Linked DNA regions of Schizosaccharomyces pombe. Changing the gene in region 2 together with the main gene of any one other region gives a genetic interaction. Each region holds a gene or a part of one and is shown on either strand. Other genes may lie near its edges.

The links.
Region 1: of rho1 (region 2) and btn1, a mutation in one rescues a mutant of the other (synthetic rescue), as found in Schizosaccharomyces pombe (one study listed by BioGRID).
Region 3: of rho1 (region 2) and rgf1, extra expression of one rescues a mutant of the other (dosage rescue), as found in Schizosaccharomyces pombe (one study listed by BioGRID).
Region 4: of rho1 (region 2) and mtl2, extra expression of one rescues a mutant of the other (dosage rescue), as found in Schizosaccharomyces pombe (one study listed by BioGRID).

What each region holds. Positions count from the first base shown.
Region 1 is NC_003424.3:2,049,909-2,053,707, forward strand, and holds btn1 (battenin CLN3 family protein), read right to left. Parts: upstream 1,841-3,799; 5' UTR 1,745-1,840; coding exon 554-1,744; downstream 1-553. Other genes in the region: protein Mil1, read right to left, coding at 1-252. UniProt on the Schizosaccharomyces pombe protein: Involved in vacuolar transport and vacuole pH homeostasis. Also required for cytokinesis.
Region 2 is NC_003424.3:4,222,346-4,226,324, reverse strand, and holds rho1 (Rho family GTPase Rho1), read right to left. Parts: upstream 2,255-3,979; 5' UTR 2,146-2,254; coding exon 2,075-2,145; exon of another isoform or gene 2,003-2,074; intron 1,840-2,002; exon of another isoform or gene 1,744-1,839; coding exon 1,206-1,743; 3' UTR 501-1,205; downstream 1-500. Other genes in the region: protein tam6, read left to right, coding at 3,432-3,677. UniProt on the Schizosaccharomyces pombe protein: Involved in the regulation of cell wall growth and actin cytoskeleton organization. Activates (1,3)-beta-D-glucan synthase.
Region 3 is NC_003421.2:1,243,390-1,249,970, reverse strand, and holds rgf1 (RhoGEF family guanine nucleotide exchange factor Rgf1), read right to left. Parts: upstream 4,786-6,581; 5' UTR 4,709-4,785; coding exon 2,027-4,708; intron 1,981-2,026; coding exon 658-1,980; 3' UTR 501-657; downstream 1-500. Other genes in the region: tudor domain and nuclease, Snd1, read left to right, coding at 1-414. UniProt on the Schizosaccharomyces pombe protein: Stimulates the exchange of Rho1 and Rho5 GDP-bound form into GTP-bound form. Controls septum formation, cell wall synthesis and localization of F-actin patches. Coordinates actin deposition with cell wall biosynthesis during bipolar growth.
Region 4 is NC_003424.3:3,957,719-3,963,437, reverse strand, and holds mtl2 (protein Mtl2), read right to left. Parts: upstream 3,690-5,719; 5' UTR 3,541-3,689; coding exon 1,930-3,540; 3' UTR 524-1,929; downstream 1-523. Other genes in the region: HECT-type ubiquitin-protein ligase E3 Pub1, read right to left, coding at 25-47, 99-115; SPOM_SPAC2F3.16 (ubiquitin-protein ligase E3), read right to left, coding at 4,832-5,371, 5,434-5,538, 5,594-5,719.

The DNA.
Region 1 (3,799 bases), 2.2 Mb from region 2:
TTCTACTTGATCCTTTGGAGTAGAGGGATCCAGTGCGCAACCTGTGCGATTTACAACTGCCATTGCCCAAGTGTCGAAGTTTTCTCTAAAGACGTCCAATAATTGAGAAAGATATTTTACTATTTCAGGATCCGTGTTATCGATTATTGACTCTTTCTTCTCTCGCATTTCACCAATTGTACTAGCAATTAAAATTGTATAACGAGTACAAGCATCATCGTCAAATAAGGATATGATTTTCTGTTCTGCCATATTATCTAAAAGAAGGAAGATATGAAAAGGAAAAAATTAAGTAATGTATGTTTTGATATGATTCGCATAGAATGCACAGCAGAAAGTAATTGTGCACCAAAAGTTTAAGAACTTCTGGTATCAGGAATTAGGAATGAAAAACTTCTTCTTTCAAAGCAAACCTATTAAGAACTAAAAAAGTAAACAATAGTTGAAAGAAAATGGTCGTAAAGCAAACTTGATATTGAAGCACTTAGCACACTAATGGAAGAAACGTCATAGGTTAACTCTCAATATAATGGAGATGTGCGCACTCACTATTTCAAGTTAAGGCACACCAATCTCGGCCACGATCAGCTTGGAAATGGCACAAGGAGGGTTCAAGGAATAGTGATACCAATGAAGCTAAAAAAATTCCAGAGCTATCTGAAGAGCCAACAGTACTAATAGCTAGTTCACGCTGACTACTCTCCGTAGTCTGCAAACTATGATACACGTTCACATAAACGGTACCACCAATAAGACCCTCAACGAATATGAGGAATAGTACAAAATGATAGCTGGAAGTAAGATATAGGGCCGACTGTAGTATAGTAAATAGAAGGATAATGAACTGTGTTATTGCCAATGTGCGCAAATATGGGACAGTAAAAAATGAAATGGAGGATCGCGATAGGAAAACACCAATCTGGTAAACAGTTTGGTAAGTAGGATAAAAATCCCTAAACGAAGAAAAGCCAGCTTTTTCGGGCGGGAATAAAAGAGTGGGAGCTACACCAATATTGATAGTATATTCTGAGAAGTATACAAGGAACTGCGGAAACATATGACTAAGAAGGTATGGTTGCATGAATATGAATGTTTGCTTCAAAGAATTAACGAAATTGAATGAAACGTGCCCTGCTCGAAGATCAATAGATTCAATTGGCGTATAATTGTTGTTAATTGAAGGTGATGTAGATTCAGACTCTGGCAACACAAAAAAGTACATGATCAAAAGGAAAAGCGGCAGAAAGCTAGAGATAATAAGTGTGCTGCGTACCGAGAAGTTAAACCATGTAGTCATAACCAAATAGGAAGATGCACCAAAGAGACCGGCCAAGCCTGTTCCGGAACTCCAGCACGGTAAAGACACAGAGTGATAACGACTTGATAGATGCAAGAAAGAGATTTCGCCAAAACTCGATGAAATGGCTGCCAGAGATACACCAAGCATTTTCGAAGGGACGGAGGAAGACCAAGCAATCCATTGCATTCCTAATATGGACATGAAAACACAAAAACCGATTCTCTTTGCAAACTTAAATTTATGAACATGAAGAATTGATGCTGACAACTTGCACGCCAAAGAAGGAACAATATTAGAAAGTAGTACCACACCCTTAGAAACGTTTGCGCCAACCAAATCTAAGGCAGCGGATAAAATTATCACGTAGAGAAGGTTGTTTAACAATCCAAAAATTAGGAAGCAACACCCTACTTTCGCATCTTTTGTTAACCTCAATTTAATCATGATTCGTACTATATTTAGTAGAAACTGAGGTCATAAATTTTAGTTTGAACCGGCAATACGATAGTAGACTTTTGTAAAGTGCTAGTCTACAAATTTGCTGTTGTTTCGCAAATAGCACACTTTAAAGCCCTTCTATCGATGACTTCATAGACGAGTTAACTTGTTACAAACTGTAAATAGCGAGGATCAACGAACTGAAAAGCAAGTCGAGATATGTTTAACATTTATTATTCGAGTAGCAATAAGTTGAAGAAAAGAACTCGTAAGCGCTTAAGGGTACAAAAAAAATTGAGTTTTTAGTAACTTCGTAAGAGAAAGGCTACTACCCTTCACGAATGGCGTATTGAGCGATTGAATTATTACGGTAATGTTGTCAGGTTCAAAAGAAACCGATTTTGAATGTTACACTGTTTTTTCCAAGCAACCGCTATCAAGCTAAAGCTTACCCTACTAAAATTTCAACGACTAGTAACTGACATGCCTTGCTTGCTGTGATCGAAAAGCTCCTAGTTTACTCATGCTTCGGTTAGCACTTCTTGAAATCTCCCAGGAAAACAATTACAACATCTTTAAATATTCTATTCACGTGTCTACAGCTTCTACTTATGAAGTTATTGTTTTTGGCACGAGATTTATTTTGGTTTAATTCCGATCTTCGTTTGCTTATGTTTAAAAACTCTAAATCGTAAATCAAAACAAATTGAATATAATATCGTATGAATGTGTCTTTACCGAACTACGGTTAACATCGTTATTGCATTATCACTTTGCTCAACAATAATATAAAATAGTAATACGCATGTATCTACTATAGATATTTCGTATTGCTTAGTCAATTTTTTTTTTTTTTTTTTACTAAATGAAGGTTTGACGCTCCGTTACGACTGTTTATAATAACGAATTGGAAACCGAACCGAAAAATCATCTCGTTCATTATCAAATTTGCCTTGTTTGCTTTGACCCATAACACATTACATTTAACAGTAATGGGATCATTATGTTAGTTACTGGGAATTATATTATGCTTGATGCTGTACTACAAATTTATAATACTGTCCATAGAAAGTGCGATATTGGCGTTTTAACGAGCGTTTCGCTATCATTCTCTAGTTTACAAATCGCACCTCACCATGGTTCATAAATCCAGCAGCTACAGCAAACAGCTGTTTGCAGACGCACTTTAGAGTTTGAATTTTAGAATCTCTTTTAAGTAAAGCTAAGAGACTTATAATCTCTTAGATTTCCTTTGGTTTTATATTAACTTCAATGAGCATAATGAATTATTATGCGATCACAGTGCCATCGACATGTTTCAACATTTTTTAAGCACATGCTGTTAATACTATTTAATCCACTAAACTTACTAATGAGAGTATCCTTTTAATCTACTGATAAACAAAAGGAGTTTTCGTGCTGTAAAATGGTAATTTTACAGTACCACCCTCTCCCTGTAATCGAAAATGCATACCAGATATGATGATGCACTCATTTTAACTCTCTTTAAACTATTAAAGTATATTCCATCATTTCCGTACCCTCGTTTCAGAATGTTCATATGCGACTTGTATAAACAACTCATATAATCTGAATGCAAAACTTCCCTCATTGTTAGAGATGATCATGTGTAGATCATCAAGTAAAAAAGATGGACGATGTGCGCTTCAATGAGTTAACACTCGCATCAAGCTTTTGGTAAAGCCTTTGACTCCTATTTTTTTTGCTCAGCCTTGTTATATTTTGTTTAAACCAGTAAGAAACTGATTAATAAAAGTTTCCCCACACTTTTGAATGTTTTGTCGAATAAGCACTGTTTTTCTGTTTGTTTACAGAGTCGATTGTTTCGGTTTGAGTGATATTTAAAGCAGCATTTTTTTTGTATATATAGAGCCTTTAGTACGAACTTTCTTTTCTTTACCGATTGATTTTTGTCAAATATCATTACTGTTGCATTCTTATCTTCTTGTGTCAATATTTTTTTTTCGGCACCTTGTGCTTCTTCTGATCGCAATTTTGTTTAGTATCGATATCGCGATTTTTTTGACTCTTCTTTCTTTA
Region 2 (3,979 bases):
AAATTGTAAAGCTAAGTTGAGTTAGCTTTTTTGTTAAGACCTCTCAACTTTTAGATTTAAGATTTTGATTCCCATTTCTGTTGTAATATGTAACCTTACTAATGCTTTACATTAAAGCATGAAGATTTCGACTCTGCATTTTACTTATAAGCACTATAAAAGGTACACATAGAGATAGACAAACAGCTTTTAGTAGCTACAAAAACTTTGTTCTTTTCCCTTTAATTCACTATTTGCTCCCTCGCAATTATCCTTTTTTTTAGGTAAAGTCAACAATGCTTATATCTTCATCTGATAATCTTGCCTGTAGACAGAGTGAAAATCAAATGGTAATACAAATGCATAGATAGAATAACAACGGTCACCTTCAAAACATGAAATTGCAAACATTGGTATGCTTGACGTAAAGAGAATGAGATATAAACAGTGTGCAAATTTCCGCAAAATACAAAATGTTTAAACCATCAACTACGGCTATCTGCTACTTCGACTATCAACGTGTATAAAAATACCAAGCGCCTGTATACCAGCAAGGTTATCAACAGAGATAATGTCGCTTCAATTTTCTACAATAATTCTAGTGCAAAATTGGAGACCCAGCTAAAGTTCCACGATAATAAGCAATTACGTGCTGTGAGAAAGCTTATAAAATATTCGGGTTTTGATCGAGTTTCAATCGAGGTGTATATTCTTTAAATTACCGATTTATAAAAATTTACCAAGTCCTTTGACTAGGTAGAAAGGATAATAATGATGGCAATCCTTAACAAAAGAAACAAGGTATTATAGGAAAAATAAAACCATGCAATAACAAGGCAATAAGGGAAATTTTCTTCAAACTAATAGCGAAGAGTATAGCAAAGTAAGCAAAGACTGAAAACAAGACGCATACTCCTTGCAGGTGCCTATACGTTGCAGAACAGTGAGGGGAAATGGTAGAACAGCTATATGAAATGCGCTTAAATCATTGCCAAGCTGACTAAATGGCACGACTTGAGGTAAGTAAAAAGGAAAGAATGAGAGGATATAATGACTATGTAACATGATAGGCCACACAATGCAAAACTCCCACCAAGGTGAAGGTGAAATAAAAATCAACATAAGTCGAAAAAATACGGAAACTTGTTGAATGTGCTTCGACTGAAGAGATGTATAAAAACAGAAAAGATAAATTCTCTAAGTTAAAAAATTTGGAAACAAGCTGTTTACAACAAGATACAACGCTTCTTCTTCTTAGTTCCACTAGAGGGCTTCACTTTGGGCTTGTGTTTGAGCATAGCAGCACGAGTGGCTGATTCAAAAACCTCACGAACACCTTCATTCGTCTTGGCAGAACACTCAAGGTATTTGTAAGCACCAATCTTCTGAGCTACTGCTTGACCTTCTTCTGTGGTGACGGGATGCTGATTAGTCTTGGATAACTCCTCAATAATTTTTGGGTCGTTACGGAGATCAGCCTTGCAAGCGACAAGCAAAATAGGAAGACTGGAACAGAAATGGAGAACCTCGGAAATCCATTTTTCTTGAACATTGTCAAGAGAATCGGGAGAATCAACAGCAAAGCAAATAAGGATAACATGTGAGTCAGGATATGACAAGGGACGTAGACGGTCGTAATCTTCTTGTCCAGCCGTATCCCAAAGAGCCAACTCAACGTGGCGTCCATCAACCTCAACATCAGCTACATAATTTTCAAAAACAGTGGGAACATAGACCTCGGGAAAGGTTCCTTTAGAAAATACACTATAAAGAAAAATGTTAGAAGTTGTATAACAATGACACAGACTCGTGAAACATTGCAGATAAGCAAGCAAAGAGTAAGTAGAAATACAGGGTACGGAGTGCAAATTAAATCCTCGGAACATTTATTAAATGTAATCTAAACCCCATCTAAGTCTCATTTCTATGGGGATTCTTTCATTATTTTCTTGAGGCAATGAACATGCTTACGGAAATAATTTTCTTCTCCAGCCATGCTAAGCAAGAGATGTAAACCCTTGCCAATTTAAAACAGGCCCAAGCAACTACTTTACCCTTCTACTACCTTTCCGACGCTTGCACCATTTTTACTTACATTAATAAGCATGTTTTACCACATGCACCATCTCCCACAATAACGAGCTTTCTGCGAAGTTCTGTCGCCATCCCTAGATTTGTTTACTTTCTCCTGCTCTAGACAGAAAAATTTCGACGTAAATAAACGTTTTTCGACTCAAATTCTGACACCGCTCTTTCCTTCGATGTGGCAGTGGTTAGCTATTTACTAGGCTGTCAGCGGCTCATGTAACAACGAAAGGAAAGAAGGAGACGCTACTACACTTCACTAAATCTCGTTACTTTGCCCTAGCGCTCTTATAGATGAACCCTTTGAGTATGTATGGACGAGGCTGAGCCTGTACAGAGTGTAAAGTGCAATTAAAACAGTTTTATTACAAAAAGATTGTCTCCACTCCGACTTGATGTCAACAGACGTTTTTTTGTTTGAATCACAAACGCCAAAAAAAGCAGAAACCAGCGGAAAAATTTCGTTAACGTATTCAGTTTAGTCATAATATTCGAAGATAACGGAACGCATTTAATCCGCTTATCCTATTTTAACGTACACACTTTATTTCAGTATTTTATAAATAATAAACATAGCAGGAATATAGAAACTTTTGGAAGAGACATAAAGAAGCAAAGCTTCGTATAAATAGCTATAATTATAATTGTATACTCATAAAATTAAACAGCATTCTATTTGTAAAATGCAAATGTGAGATGAATTCCTAAATTCAAAAAGCGGCAATTTTTGGTGCCGAAAAATAATTTTACATGTCAGATTGAAGTAATAAAGCAATATTACGATGCTCTTTCTTTCTATCGTCGTTTTGTTTGCTCTCTTATTTCTCGAGATCAATAAAATCCTACTTTAATTTTACTAAAATTATATCGCCCAAAAAAATATTGATCCGGTAGCAGATCTACAAATATACAAAAATGAAATGTAACTTTAGCCTCTTTTATTCTTCTTCATAGTTAAAATAAAACAGACGGTTTCAGTAGATCTATAACTTAGCTCTTAACTCACTACTTTGTCTCTTTTAACTTTTGCCATTGATTCATTTCAGTACTGGAGAACATAAGACCAATATATTAAACAGTTTGAACAGCGCGCCCTATAGATTTCCCACAAATTGAAAGAGAAAAAAGTCCTGAGTCGTTATTATTGAACATCTATCAAATTGGATACCGTATTATTGATCGCTGACATTTCATTTTGTAGTTGACAAGAAAAGAAAAAGCGGGTTGAGTAAACTTTACCTTTTAGTGCTTTAATCTTGTTTATAAAGTGAAAGTGGTTGAAAGCTGTGTGGCCTCTTAATTATACACATATATATTTACGCGGTTACTTTTTTTTTATAGTTTATAAATTAAACTGATAGCTTTCGATGATGCCATCATCAAGTTTCCAACAAACTCCCAAACCCGTCGATTTAGACGATCCAAGGTTTGAACAGTACGATTGCTTGCCATGCCGCTTGGTGGGCGCAGGCGCTTTCACAGGTCTAGGAATATATGCCTATTCGCAATCTAGAATTCCTTTGAATACACCCAATTACAAGCTTAAACGATTCGGTATTTTGGGAATGGCTTATGGATTTATTCTTACCGGTGTCTATAGATTGTTTCAATAAAATGTTAATAAACGTCGTTTTCTATTATCAGTTATCTTAAGACGTGAAGAAGTAACTTGAATCAGAAGTAAATGTTTTTTACTAAATTGCATTTTAATCAAACGGGTGAAGTTTTTTTGCTTTCTGATGCACATCCAACAAATATGCTTAAATGGTAACTAAACCTATACACTATAACAATTATGGAATAAAAGAAAAGAAGCAGAAATGAAGGGAAAATTCTGAAATATAATTAAAAAAAGAACCATAAATAAAAAAAAGGATGCGAATACACTAAATAGTTGACTTTTGTCTAAAAATAA
Region 3 (6,581 bases), on a different chromosome or scaffold from region 2:
TTCAAAAACATATCCTCTTTACCAGATACCTATACTAAATTGAAGCCTCAAGCGCAACTTGCTCGTCTCAGTTACGTTCAATTACCTCCTCCCAGCTCTGATTACTATGAAGACGCAAGACTCGTTTTCAGGGAGCTAGCCATGAATAAAGGTCTAGTGGCTAAAGTCGATGGACACGAAGGAAACGTGTATTCTGTAACTTTGTATAATCCTAGTGATGGTTCAGATTTTTCTGACTGTATTAATGCCCAACTGGTTGCGCTCGGCATGGCTAGTGTTATTCCCAAGAAAAAAACATCTCACTTTGAAAAAGATACCGCATCCCTCAATATTCTAGAAGAGCATCAGCAAGAAGCACGTCTAAATCATATCGGTTTCTGGGTATATGGTGATCCCCTAGAATATGAGGACTAAAAATATTTTACTTCTAGTATAGTAACATTGATCATATTCGCTAGTACTTTTTGCCTACAATATATCTAGTTATTCACTTTAAAATATTGTTAACGTATATATTTTAAAAAAATCTTATTTATCATTAAAATTCATGCACCTAAATTATTTTTTTAAAAAAGAAAAGAAAAGATAACCGAACAAACCAATATCCAATTAACCGTTATAAATAAAACGTGAAAATTAAGTTCAAAAAAACCAAAATTACTTGTCTACATGCTGCTCTTTGGCGTGGGCAGCAGCACTCGTCAATCGAAGGGAACAAACAACACTTGTCTCACAATTTTCACCACGTTGATCGCACGCATAAAATATTTCACCACCGTCCCCTAACTTTCCTCTTCCATCAGCAAGCAAACGGATGTTTCTGCCGGAAATGACATGGATCAATTCAGAGGTTTCAACATGTCTGATTTCAATAAAAGTGGGTTCAAAAGCCAATATATAAGGATAACTTAAGGCAAAGTTTTGAGGACTTCCTTCCCAAACAACAAACCATGTAGGACGAGAACGCCATCCATCTCGATTTACGTAAAAAGCAAATTGGGAATAGCATAAAAGAAATTCACCGCCATTCATACGATAGATAGCGATAGGTTTAACATTTTCTTTCTTCTCCACAAATTCAAGAGACGTATCGGCTGGATCCAGTAGAGACTGCGTCTCTAGGTTATCGAGACTGACCACCTCAAAACCTCTCGTACATCCGACACAGAGTTTATTCTTCAGGAAGTGAACCGAAGTTGATTCCGTGGGTATATAAAGCTCTTTGACAATCCTCAATGGGTCTTGGTTAACAGTAAGGAATTTTTTCAAGCTTGGCATGTTCCGTGTTTTAGAGTAATTAGTGACTGGTTCAAAAACCTTTATAGTAGCACTCAAGACGGAACTTTTGACAGCACACACAAGAACTTTACCCAGACAAATTCCTACGCGAAAGAAAGTTGTATGACCAGAAACTTTCCTTGCTTTTTTAGGGGCTTGAGTAGTATCCGCATCAATCATTTCCAAAGGATACGAATATAACACCTTATCGGAAAGCAGTAGCAATAAACTATACTCTTCAATAACCTCAAGCTGTGAAATGTTGGGAATATTTAACGCACGTACAGGCTTGAATTGAAGTGGGCTGTTTGCTTTTCGAAGAGAGACGTACACACCTGTGTCAGTCCCATATAAAAGTCGACGACCACTATCATAAACGCCTATCGCATTTACTTTATTATCACCAACAAAGAAATTAGAGCAAATGGTAACAGACTCAAACCACTGGTTACGATGTTGTAGCAATGTTTGTTGGTTGTCAATATGCTCTAACCACTTATCCCTACTAACTTCAGTGGTTGCATAAAGAGTGATTTCGTACCCTCTACGACCCAAAAGTTGTAAGCTAAATGGATAAAATCTAGAAGGTGGCTTCCCATTCGCTGCTTTTGATACAGCTGCTAGTTGTTGCTTACTTGAATAAGGGATTCTTAATCCATTATCATCAACAAGGAATAGTTGAAGAAGTAATAGAGGAATAGGCTATACTAGTTAGAAAAAACAATTTAAATGAATAGAAAAAACATACTCTTTGAAAAACTTTCAATAATTCACGTTTATTAATAGTCTTTGGTTTTACTATCAACAAAGCATGGTCAAAGAGAAACAAAGTAACATCCGACGCAGACTCTGAAGAAGTGGAACCAGCACTTCTTTTCTTCAAGGGTCCTTTGAATATTAATTGTCTGTTCGCATCAAGCAGATGTAAATCATAATGTTCTCCAGGTTTAAAGACCAGCTGTTGATTCAAATGAAACAAGTTAAACTTATTTTCTGCTTTTCCGCTTTCAACATTAAGACGTGAGAGAAATCCTCTAACGATATTAATGACCTTCGGAATGTCTTGTTTATCAGGGTTACCCTCATCAGTATATTTTAATACCGCTTCTAGAAGTAATGGATAACGAGCCAATCTGGTAGTTGGTTTAGTCAGATAGCCGTTTAGCTCTAGCTTTCGTGATTCTTTCAGACGTTCAACGTCACTGACAAACTTAGCAAATGCAGGATTAGATGACTTTTCCTTCTCAAACTCGTATTTTCCGTAGAGTTGGCCTGCACCATATCGTATGAAAGGCTCAAATTTTGGAACGTGCTCCAAAAATATATCCGCAATATTATCCACAATGGGTTTATAGTTTTGTCTTTTAGTAAGAGCTTCAGCCAATTTAGAATTAACTGCTTGAACCTCTAAAGCATTTAAAAACACAGTACGAATAAATTTTTCTTTTTTTCGTTCAGGTATACAAGATGAAGCCCATAGTGGTTTAATCCAATAATCCCGAAGATATTCCAAATCCTTAACAAAATCTCGCTCAGTATAGATAACCTCACAAATTACTTCTTGACGCTTTCTTTCCCGGTCACTGACACTATAAGCAATCTCCTGGGGTACGCTGTGAATCCACAATTTTTGTTCCTTATCATCAAACGCTAGGGAGGAAGACTGTTCAGTGTTTGCACGCATTTTGGCAAATAGTCTGTGCTGCTGTTCCAATCGTCGAGGACATGAAATAGAATAGCAGGGATGATCTTTTGCACATGTTGGAGAGTAACAATGCGTCAATAAAGTAAATATACCATTTGGAAAAGAAGTGTCACCTAACGTGGACGGTGAGATTCGAGTGCCCGACTCATTGTCCTCCAATTCCTTATGATGGTTTTTGTTGTTAATGGATGCATTATCATTTGCGCGTAAGAAGGGGCGATAACCAGTACCTTGAAGCTGATATATTTCACGATGAGAATCACGAAGACGATGATCATAGGTAACATCATGAATAAATTTTTGTGCATCTAAAGAGCGTCCGACAAGTAAAGCGAGATTTCTATCAGAAGTATGTATAATACCCATTAGCACGGTGACTGCATGATCGCCAGTAAAGGCATTAGAATAAATTAAACCGTCTTTCGTGATATCACCTAGCTGTAGTCTATCTAACAATTCGCTGGCAACACGAGAAAGTAAGGCAGCATATATTCTGCGTCTTCGTTTATTTTTATGAACAGGCGAGCTAGCTTCCGAATTAACAAACGTCGGCGTTGTTGTAGAGCTTCGATCATTAATTAGGGAATTTCCACTTGCACGGGACTTATAAGAGCTCAACGTAAAGGACCTTGCAGTAGGTTCAACACCAAGTCTCTGCTGCTTAACTGCTTCATAATGAGCCAAGGTAGAATGATCAAATGAGCGATTTCGCATATCATGTTCTCTGTCTCGTAATGTGGTAGAGGGACCATGAAAGACATTAGAAAAGACGTCCAACCCAGAAAAAATATTCTTATGGCTGCTAGCAGAAGCTATGCTTAAATGAAGATCCGCGGGATTGCTAGTAGATTTTGGTAGCTGAAGGGACTGGGCAGGTGGAGAAACGTTAGCAGGATATTCACTAACACTACGTATGAGAGGTGCTTGAGCTGCAGGAGTAACAGCATTGGGAAGTGTAAAGGCGGAATTAGAAGAAACAATGGGTGGGTGAGTTCCTGAAGTAAATGAATGAGAACCAACAGTGTGAGAAGAATCATCAGTTGGTAATCGAGAATTTGAAGAGAGAAAGGGATTTTTAGACGAACGAACAGGAGAGCCGTAAGGATAATTTTGATCGAGATGAAGGTTTGTTTCTACGGACTCTGTAACAGAAGAGACTGCTGAAAGGAGGTTCTCATCTACTGAATCCGAAACCGGAGACGTGCTACTCTGAGACTGACGCCGAACGAAAAAAGGATTTTGGTTGGAATCATCACCGGATGATGTGTGCCAAGTCAAAGAAGGGGAATTAGAGTTATTGGGCGCATGATTCGATACCTGAGGAAAATGGGGTGTGGTGTTTAAAGATGCATATAGAGCACCAAAATCATTTCCGTCTTTAAGAGTCAATGGGACGATCTGGTGATTATTTGAAGTACCAAAAACGGAAGGAAAAGATTCACTGTGCTCAATATTTTTCACAGGAGATGCTTCTCTCTGATGAGTTGGAGGTGCAGGAGGTTGAGACGATGGAGGCTGCAAACTCGTGGAACGAAAGGGCAAAGGTTTCCGAGGAAGCCTTCGCGTGGGAGGAGGAAGAGGTTTTTTTGAGACTGGAGCCGGTTCCATGAACGCAGGAGTACTTACAGTTCTCGCCGGCTCCCGTTTTCTTGGAGCACCAAAAATTTCCTCATAAGCACGCGAGCTCTCATTCACACCGAGTGCATTTGGATGCCGGTAATCCATTGCTACTATAAAAACAATCAGTTTGACGATCGAATCGACAATGCTGAATGTTTCCCGTGAAAACGAGGGTTTGGTGGTGGAGAAAAAGACAAGATAATTTGACCACAAACTTTCTGCGAAAGTAGCTACGAACTCGTTATAACGGTAAGATGATGAAAAATTCTAATTTATACGATTTTCTAAATCAAAGACCATTAATATGTAAATTGCGTATTGCTTGATGAATTAATGTTTTGCTTTAGTATATTGCTTTCACCTTCAATTTCTTTTGCATGGAGGGTTTCCACTCGAAACACATGCTAAAAGGCGACATAAAAAAAGGCTTTTGTTAGTGTTTCCAGAGTTGAATGTTTAAAATTTGATTTAAATTATAATAATAAGTTTATATAGCCGTCCTGGTTCGTTCAATGAAACAATTGATTTGTTTACTTGTCTGCTTAGCAATTTGAGAGAGCAACAGGTATATTAAGAAAAGATTATCCTCGAAGGGAAAAATACGTATACTTAATATATCAGAAGAATTGTTACAGCAGCAGTAAACCGCATTAATATTATGAAGGGATGAGAAGCTATAAGTCATCAGTATGCTGTTTTGGGCTAAGTTTATCTACTTCTTCTATAGATAAGGTGATTTCAATGTTGAATATGTAGTAAAAAAGTCTTGAACTCCTTAAAAAAAAAGTACAAATCTGAATTTTCACTAGTCCTAACAAAGTTAATATCAACATTCAACTGCATCCTGGTCGACTTTCCACTAAAAAAAAAAACGCTTATATAAAAAGGGAAGTCATGAATGAACTCCTTTACTTTATATTGCCTATTGCTTTTCTACTTGCTGCAATTTATGTGCTCACTTTTTCTGTCCGACCAGCTCATAATTGTATTACCGATTTACAAATATGAAAAACATCATCTAAAATAATTAGCTTTAATCCGGATAACCTCAATTGATCGATTTCTATGACTATGCTGTATTGACTTATTTTATTTTAATTGCGTTCGCATTGTTTACTATTCAGCTTGTGCTCAACATCATATAAATTGATCAAATATCTTTTTGTACACTTTATTTGCCCTATTTATCGTTTAAATCATGTAATCTAAATTTGGAAAATTTGCTAGTCAAAGACCAATTTTGTTCTTCCGTCGCGAACATACAACCAGCCATTTTCTTATCCACTCCGCTCGCCGTCCACGAAGATCCCTTGGTGGTGGGTTATAAGTTATTTAACATTTACACATATATTTAAAAACCATAAAGTCCTATAATCTTTTCTTAGGCATCGATTTTGATTTATCCCAAACGTTTCATTAGAAGAGGTTGTTTTTTTGATCAAGTCATTACCTTTCATAATATACTGCTTTTGCTTTCTCTCTTTCTCTGTCTATAAACCTACGAAACTTGATTCCTCTGAAACGCTTGGGAGCTTTCTTTCCTTTTTGGGTTGTTTCAATCAGATCATCCTATATTATTCCTTCCGCCCTAACCCTTTTATTGTGGCATCACAAACCGAATAAACAGACTGTTGCATTGATATTGCGATACAATTCTTTCTTTCTTTTTTTCTTTCTTTCTGTATTCGTAATTTTATGTCAAAGTCTTTTATTAATAGAGGACGGGAGTTTCTCTGGTTCATCGCATAACTTTGAAAGCATCAATCGTTTTCATTCCGGCTTACTATAAAATTGCTTTTTTTGAGGGCGTACGAGATTGGTTTGCATTTTTTGAATTCCATTGACACTGAATTTGTTCTATTTTAATTTATTTTCCCTTATTTTATTCCATTTATTAATTTCTCTTCGCATTTCTTTCTTTTTTTTTATACTCTTCTTTCTCAATTCCTTTTTCTATCTTTTTTCACCTCTCTTTTCT
Region 4 (5,719 bases), 260 kb from region 2:
CATTTGAATAATGTCATCACATACTTGTTACTCGAATTCGACGAGATCTAATCATAAAAGTTAGCAAATGTGTTTATAGCAGTTAAAGAACTACTTACTGAGCTGAGTTTGACATAGGGGGAAAAGATGGTAAAATTTCAAACCAGCGTTGCTTTTGGATAATAAAAAAAAGCCAATTTCCCAAAGAAAGTCAAGTATTTGTGCTTGCAAAAAAAACTTTCAATTAAGGCCGTTTTATCCTTTCTATTTGATACAAAAACGCTTTTTTCGGGAACGAAATAAATAAAAAAGAACTACAAAAGGAATCCTTAATCAAATTCGTGCTTTCAGCGCACAATTTTGAAATCCGTCGGATTTCGCGTGGTGTTGGCTGAAAGGAGAATTAATCGGTCTTGCAGATTAGATCCTTAACGCATTATAACCCATTTCCTTATATATATACAACGCGATTACCAAATTGTTCTTTATCTTTTTTGGCGTACAGAAAATACGTTTTACGTGTTAACTACGAAAGTAAATATCATGCAGCACAATGTATGATTTGCAAGCTATAAGCATTTAATAAATTGATTTAATACGAAAGAATGAGGAAAATGTATATCTAACCACTTTGCGTTCAAGTGATAGTTAGAACTGAGAAGAAAGAGAGGAAACGAAGAATTGTAAAAGGTACATACAAGAAGGCAAACGGAGTGCCGCGAATAAAAGTAATAAAGCCAGAACTTAGCAACAACTCTTAAACAGACAATGCTCAAAATTTTTATTTTTTAATTATCAGTAGTCGAGCATGCTGGCCAAAACAAAGTTAAGTAAACATCCAGCCACACGAGAGAAAGTAGAGCTAGATGGTCCTCAACATGACGAAAGAGTAAGAGCGATAAGTGCAGCGAAGGGAACGTGACGCTCCATTACATATACGAGACGGTGAAAAAGGAACGGAAGGAAAAGAAAAGGAAAAAGTACAGTATGTACATTTATTTCAAAGAAATGAGATAACGAGATTGGTTAGGCGACTGAAAGTAAAATTGAAATGGCTGGTCATAAAGACTATTTGCTATCCACTTTCAATAACAAGAAACCATGGGATGGAAAACAGGTAGCTGTTAAAAGTTTCATTTCGTTTTACACTATTCAGGAAAATTGGCTTTCCGTCGCATTTGACAAGAATTCGCCATTCTGTAAAGAAATGTACAAATGAAAAAACAAAGCGAAACGGCGAATGAAACAGAAATGATTGATAAGTAATGAAATGCAAATGAGAAAAGGATAAGAATAAACAAACCAAAGAGACTTTTTTAAGGGTTGTATCTCACTACAGTGAAACAATTGAAAGAAAAATTCAAAAGTCAGTCAAAAGATGAAGTCGATTTAAAAGCAATAAGTTAAGGAACCAGATGACATATTTAAGACTTTGAATGAAATGCAAGCAACGAAATTTTCTTAAAAAAAGAGGGCCATGAGAAAAAGCAAATAGTTAAGTTTAAAAAGAAAGTTTGAAAGAAGGATAAATAGTTTGCTAAATAACTCCTTTTTTAAAGAAAGTAAACCGACGGACCAATTGATTGTATGAGATGGTATAAGCGAAACCCATAATAATAACAAAGCTTTGCAATGAGAATGTGAATTTCTAATACCATAAAACTGTTCAAGCAAAAAGGAAATGAGTGAGTAACGGTAAAACAAAGAGATAGCAATAAGATTGAAAAGATCGATTACTTAAGATTTTCGTAAAAAACAAAGGTAAAAGCCGAATAAAGAAAAAGTTGTTATACGAAAAAGTGATGAGCAAGCTTTTCTTCGCAAGACTTTCTACCATCAATTGAAGGCAAGCGTAACTAACGCATTTATTTTAAGCGACGGATATATCCAGAAATTGTAAACAAATAATTTTTGCTTAAATCTATCGCAACAAGTGTTTAAGCGCATACTTTAAAACAGGTTCAACCTGCGAGCTTCCGATGACGACCGAGGAATAGAAACGTTGCTACTTGATGGGTTGTCAGCAAAAGGTGAATAATTGGGCTGGTTAGAAGCACCAGTGCTTGTTGGGGAAAGAAGATTGCTTTGAGATCGACTAGACAGAGCTGCCCTCGAGCCGTAAGAGGATTCTCCAGCTAAATCACTAGCCATGCTTTCACTGTCACTTTCAGGAATCGTAGCTAAAGGACCTTCTGGATAGGAATCTGAACCAGAACCACTGTGTTCTGCAGCTTCGGCCGCAGCTCCAGCGGCACCAACAGCAGGGCCTGACTCAAACGGAGATGCAGACAAACCTTCAGAAAAGTTGCTTCCATTAGATGGAGGCATTGTAGCTTCAGCTTCGTTAGAAGCAGAAAGATCAGGTGGATTTCCAATCGGTCTAACCATACGGGCTCCTTGAGGACGAGTAAAGCTTCCACCAGTATTAGCTGCATCAGAAGCATCAGCACCGACACCAGCAGCGGTAGCAGCTGCAATTGGACCAGCTGAATTACTACTGCCACCCAAAAGGCCGGGCTGAGAAGCTGCAGGCGGATTGGCTCCGCCAGCGCCGGCAGAAGGTCTAGGAGCAACAGGCCGTCCGTTAGTATTGTTTCCAGCAGCAGGTGTTGGGCTTCCATTCCAGCCACGATACCTGTTATTAGTAGAGGGAGCACGATTTGGGCTACGGAAATTGGAGGGTTGATTGGGGTTAAATCCGTATTCCTCGACTTCTTGCATGCGCTCAGCCTTAATTCGTTTGGACCGTTGATGCCTTTTCCAAAGAAAAATTCCTAAACCAATCAAAATTAGAACTACACCAACAGGAATAGCAACAGAACAACCAACAACTACGCCGACATGATTGCTTGACTTGTTAGATTTACTGGGCAAAGTGCCACTGGAAGAATAAGAAGAGCTAATAGGCGTAGACGAAGTGCTGGAAGTGAAAGAACTGGAGGAATTCCAATTATTAGTAGTAGTGGGGGTCACCACTTCAGAAACGTAAGAAGTTGAGACCAATGTGATTATTGAGGGTCCATCTCGATACGTACTACTGACAATGCTGGCTGAAGAACTCAAGCCGCTCGTAGTCATGGAAGAGCTGTGGTAGGAAGAACTAGATGATGGGACACTAGACGAATGGCTTAAGGAACTACTGGACATCCCACTGGAGGAACTACTAGCGACAAGAGAACTACTGCTGCTGCTAAGCGCGTGACTCGAACTACTGGAGGTCGGGGAAGCACTGCTACTGGAAGTCAGTGTAGCACTGCTACTAGAGGTCAATGAAGCACTGCTACTAGAGCTTTGTTGGCTGCTTGATGAGACCAAAGATGTGATAAAAGAAGAAGAAGCAGGAGAAGTAAAAGATGAGGATGAAAGAGGTGAAGACGATGATGAAGAACTAATTGCAGTAGCACTAGACGATGAAAGCATAGAGCTCGAACTAGAAGGAATCACGCTTGAGCTACTCAAACTCGTACTAGCAGCAGCAGAAGAGCTGCTTGCCGGAATACTGCTAGAAGCAGATGAGCTGAGGGAAGTGTCCACACTTGAAGTATTGTTCGTGAATGACATTTTCTCTTGCGTGCGAATTCCCTTACAGAAAGAAGGTTTTTTGAAGTTTTTAAAAGAACGTTGGATTTTTTTTCTAGAAAAATAATAAGATCTCGTCCAATTTCAATGTATCTTGATGAATTCCCTTAAAAGCACGGTGAAGAGTAAGCGGTAAAGAGAAAATGTCGCGGTCCTGCTTGGCTTTGCCTATAGGTAAGGGTGATGCACTTTTCAATGTGGGGATTCTTTCCGAGTTAGTTTCGAGGCTTTTTTTCACCTTACCAATATGTTACCTATCAATGCTCTAGCAAAGAACCTTAAAGTTACGAACCAGGTGAAATTTTACTAAGGCAAATTATTCATTTCAAATGGCTGGATAAAAAGAGATCGCCGTTAACTTGCGCTTAATGAGAAAGCTACCACAGTTTTCACATACTGCAATATTCATATAGATTTCCCTAATTTTAAATTACTAAACATCCGCAACAGTAGATGCCATTTACTACTGGCTTGAAACATATGGCTGCATTTGACACTATCGTTTCCACGCGGTAATTGAGTTAACCACCTTACATAGTAACAATGTATTGAAATTTTATTCATGCCAAATTAAATTGATATAGTAGAAAATTAGTATTATCGCTTCATCTGACTAGTAACTCCGACTAACAACCCATCCACGTTACTAAACCTGCTCTTAAGAGACAACTGCAAGTGTGGTAAAAAAATTTTGTAGTTGGATGCTGCTAAAGAATCACAACGACAGATAGAAAAGTAACAAGAATAGTTGCAGTAACTTGACGAATGATCGCATCTTCTAGACAAAAAGTCAGTTTAAAAGGAATCTGAAGGATTAGATGAATATGGAATGACAATAAACTCTTTATTTAATGAATGCCAGCCGTAAAAAAAATCAAGACAAATAACATATAAGTCATAATAACAGGAAATTGAAATATTGAGAGAGGCCCAGAATTGCATGAAGCAAAGTCCTTATGTTTGCGAATGTTTCAAGACACCATAGCTTCACACAAAAGTAGATGAGTTTAGATTAATTAAAACAGAAATTCTCTTCATCGAGGAAATTTAAGCGATTTACTTCATACCATCGCTTGACTTGTTGAGAAAAAAAACCATATAAGAAGTAGATGCAAAAGGACGAGAAAAGGGAATAAATATAATCAGACAATTGGGGTAAACGTTAAAAATTCGTAATTCTTGCAAAGAATTGAATGAAAATAGCAACTTTTCCAAAATAATAGTACATATAGGATAATCGTAACAGTTTAGGAAGTTCATAAAGTTAGAAAATCTATATAAAACTGTGAATCCCGAAAATATTAAAGTCTTCATCGCTGTTGTCCCAAGAATGTCCCATTAGCCGTCGCATACCGGCATCCTCAGCGGTTGCCAGTCGAGGGATAGACACCTGTGGGTGATCCAAAGGTTTGTAAATTGATGAAATACAAGTATTGTAAGAATGACATGAATTACATTTATGACCCAAGAAATGGTATTTCGTATCACAACGTGAGTTACAGTCATTGCAACGGATGGTAGAAATCCAAGTGTTATAGGGATAAGGCATGGGTTGTCGTTCAATTTCCATATCTAAAATTCGAAACAATGAATTGACATTAATGATCGTTTTGTAACAAGTAGGACAACGATAATTGGTTCTTATATATTCTTCATGACATCGCTGGTGCAACGGATGAGAGCAACTTAAAAAGATTACGCGTTCGCGAGAGTTAAACATGTATTCACCACAAATTGGGCAATTACAATCCGTACTTCTTTCGATGCAACGATGAGTATTGAAAACCGAAATAGGTAAACAAAGGCCACAAGTCTACAGCTGTTAGAATATGAGTTTAAAAAGCAAAGCATGTGCTAAAAGTACACGAAAGTTACCTTGCAGTGGAAATAATCATCGCCAAGACCGCGTCCTATTCGACAAATACCACAATCATCACAATGATAGCTACTTTTATTCGGATCGTCATCCCAAAGTTTGCACTGTTAAGTCATGTATTAGTGATATTGAACAAGTATCAAATAAAATATCACATACCTTATTGCAGTAATATCGGCCCATACAGTTCTTACAGTATTTGCAATATTGAGCTGCTGGTTGAACCTTGGAACATATCATGCAAAGCATGTTTTCTACGGCAGGTCGTTCTAAAACATGATCACA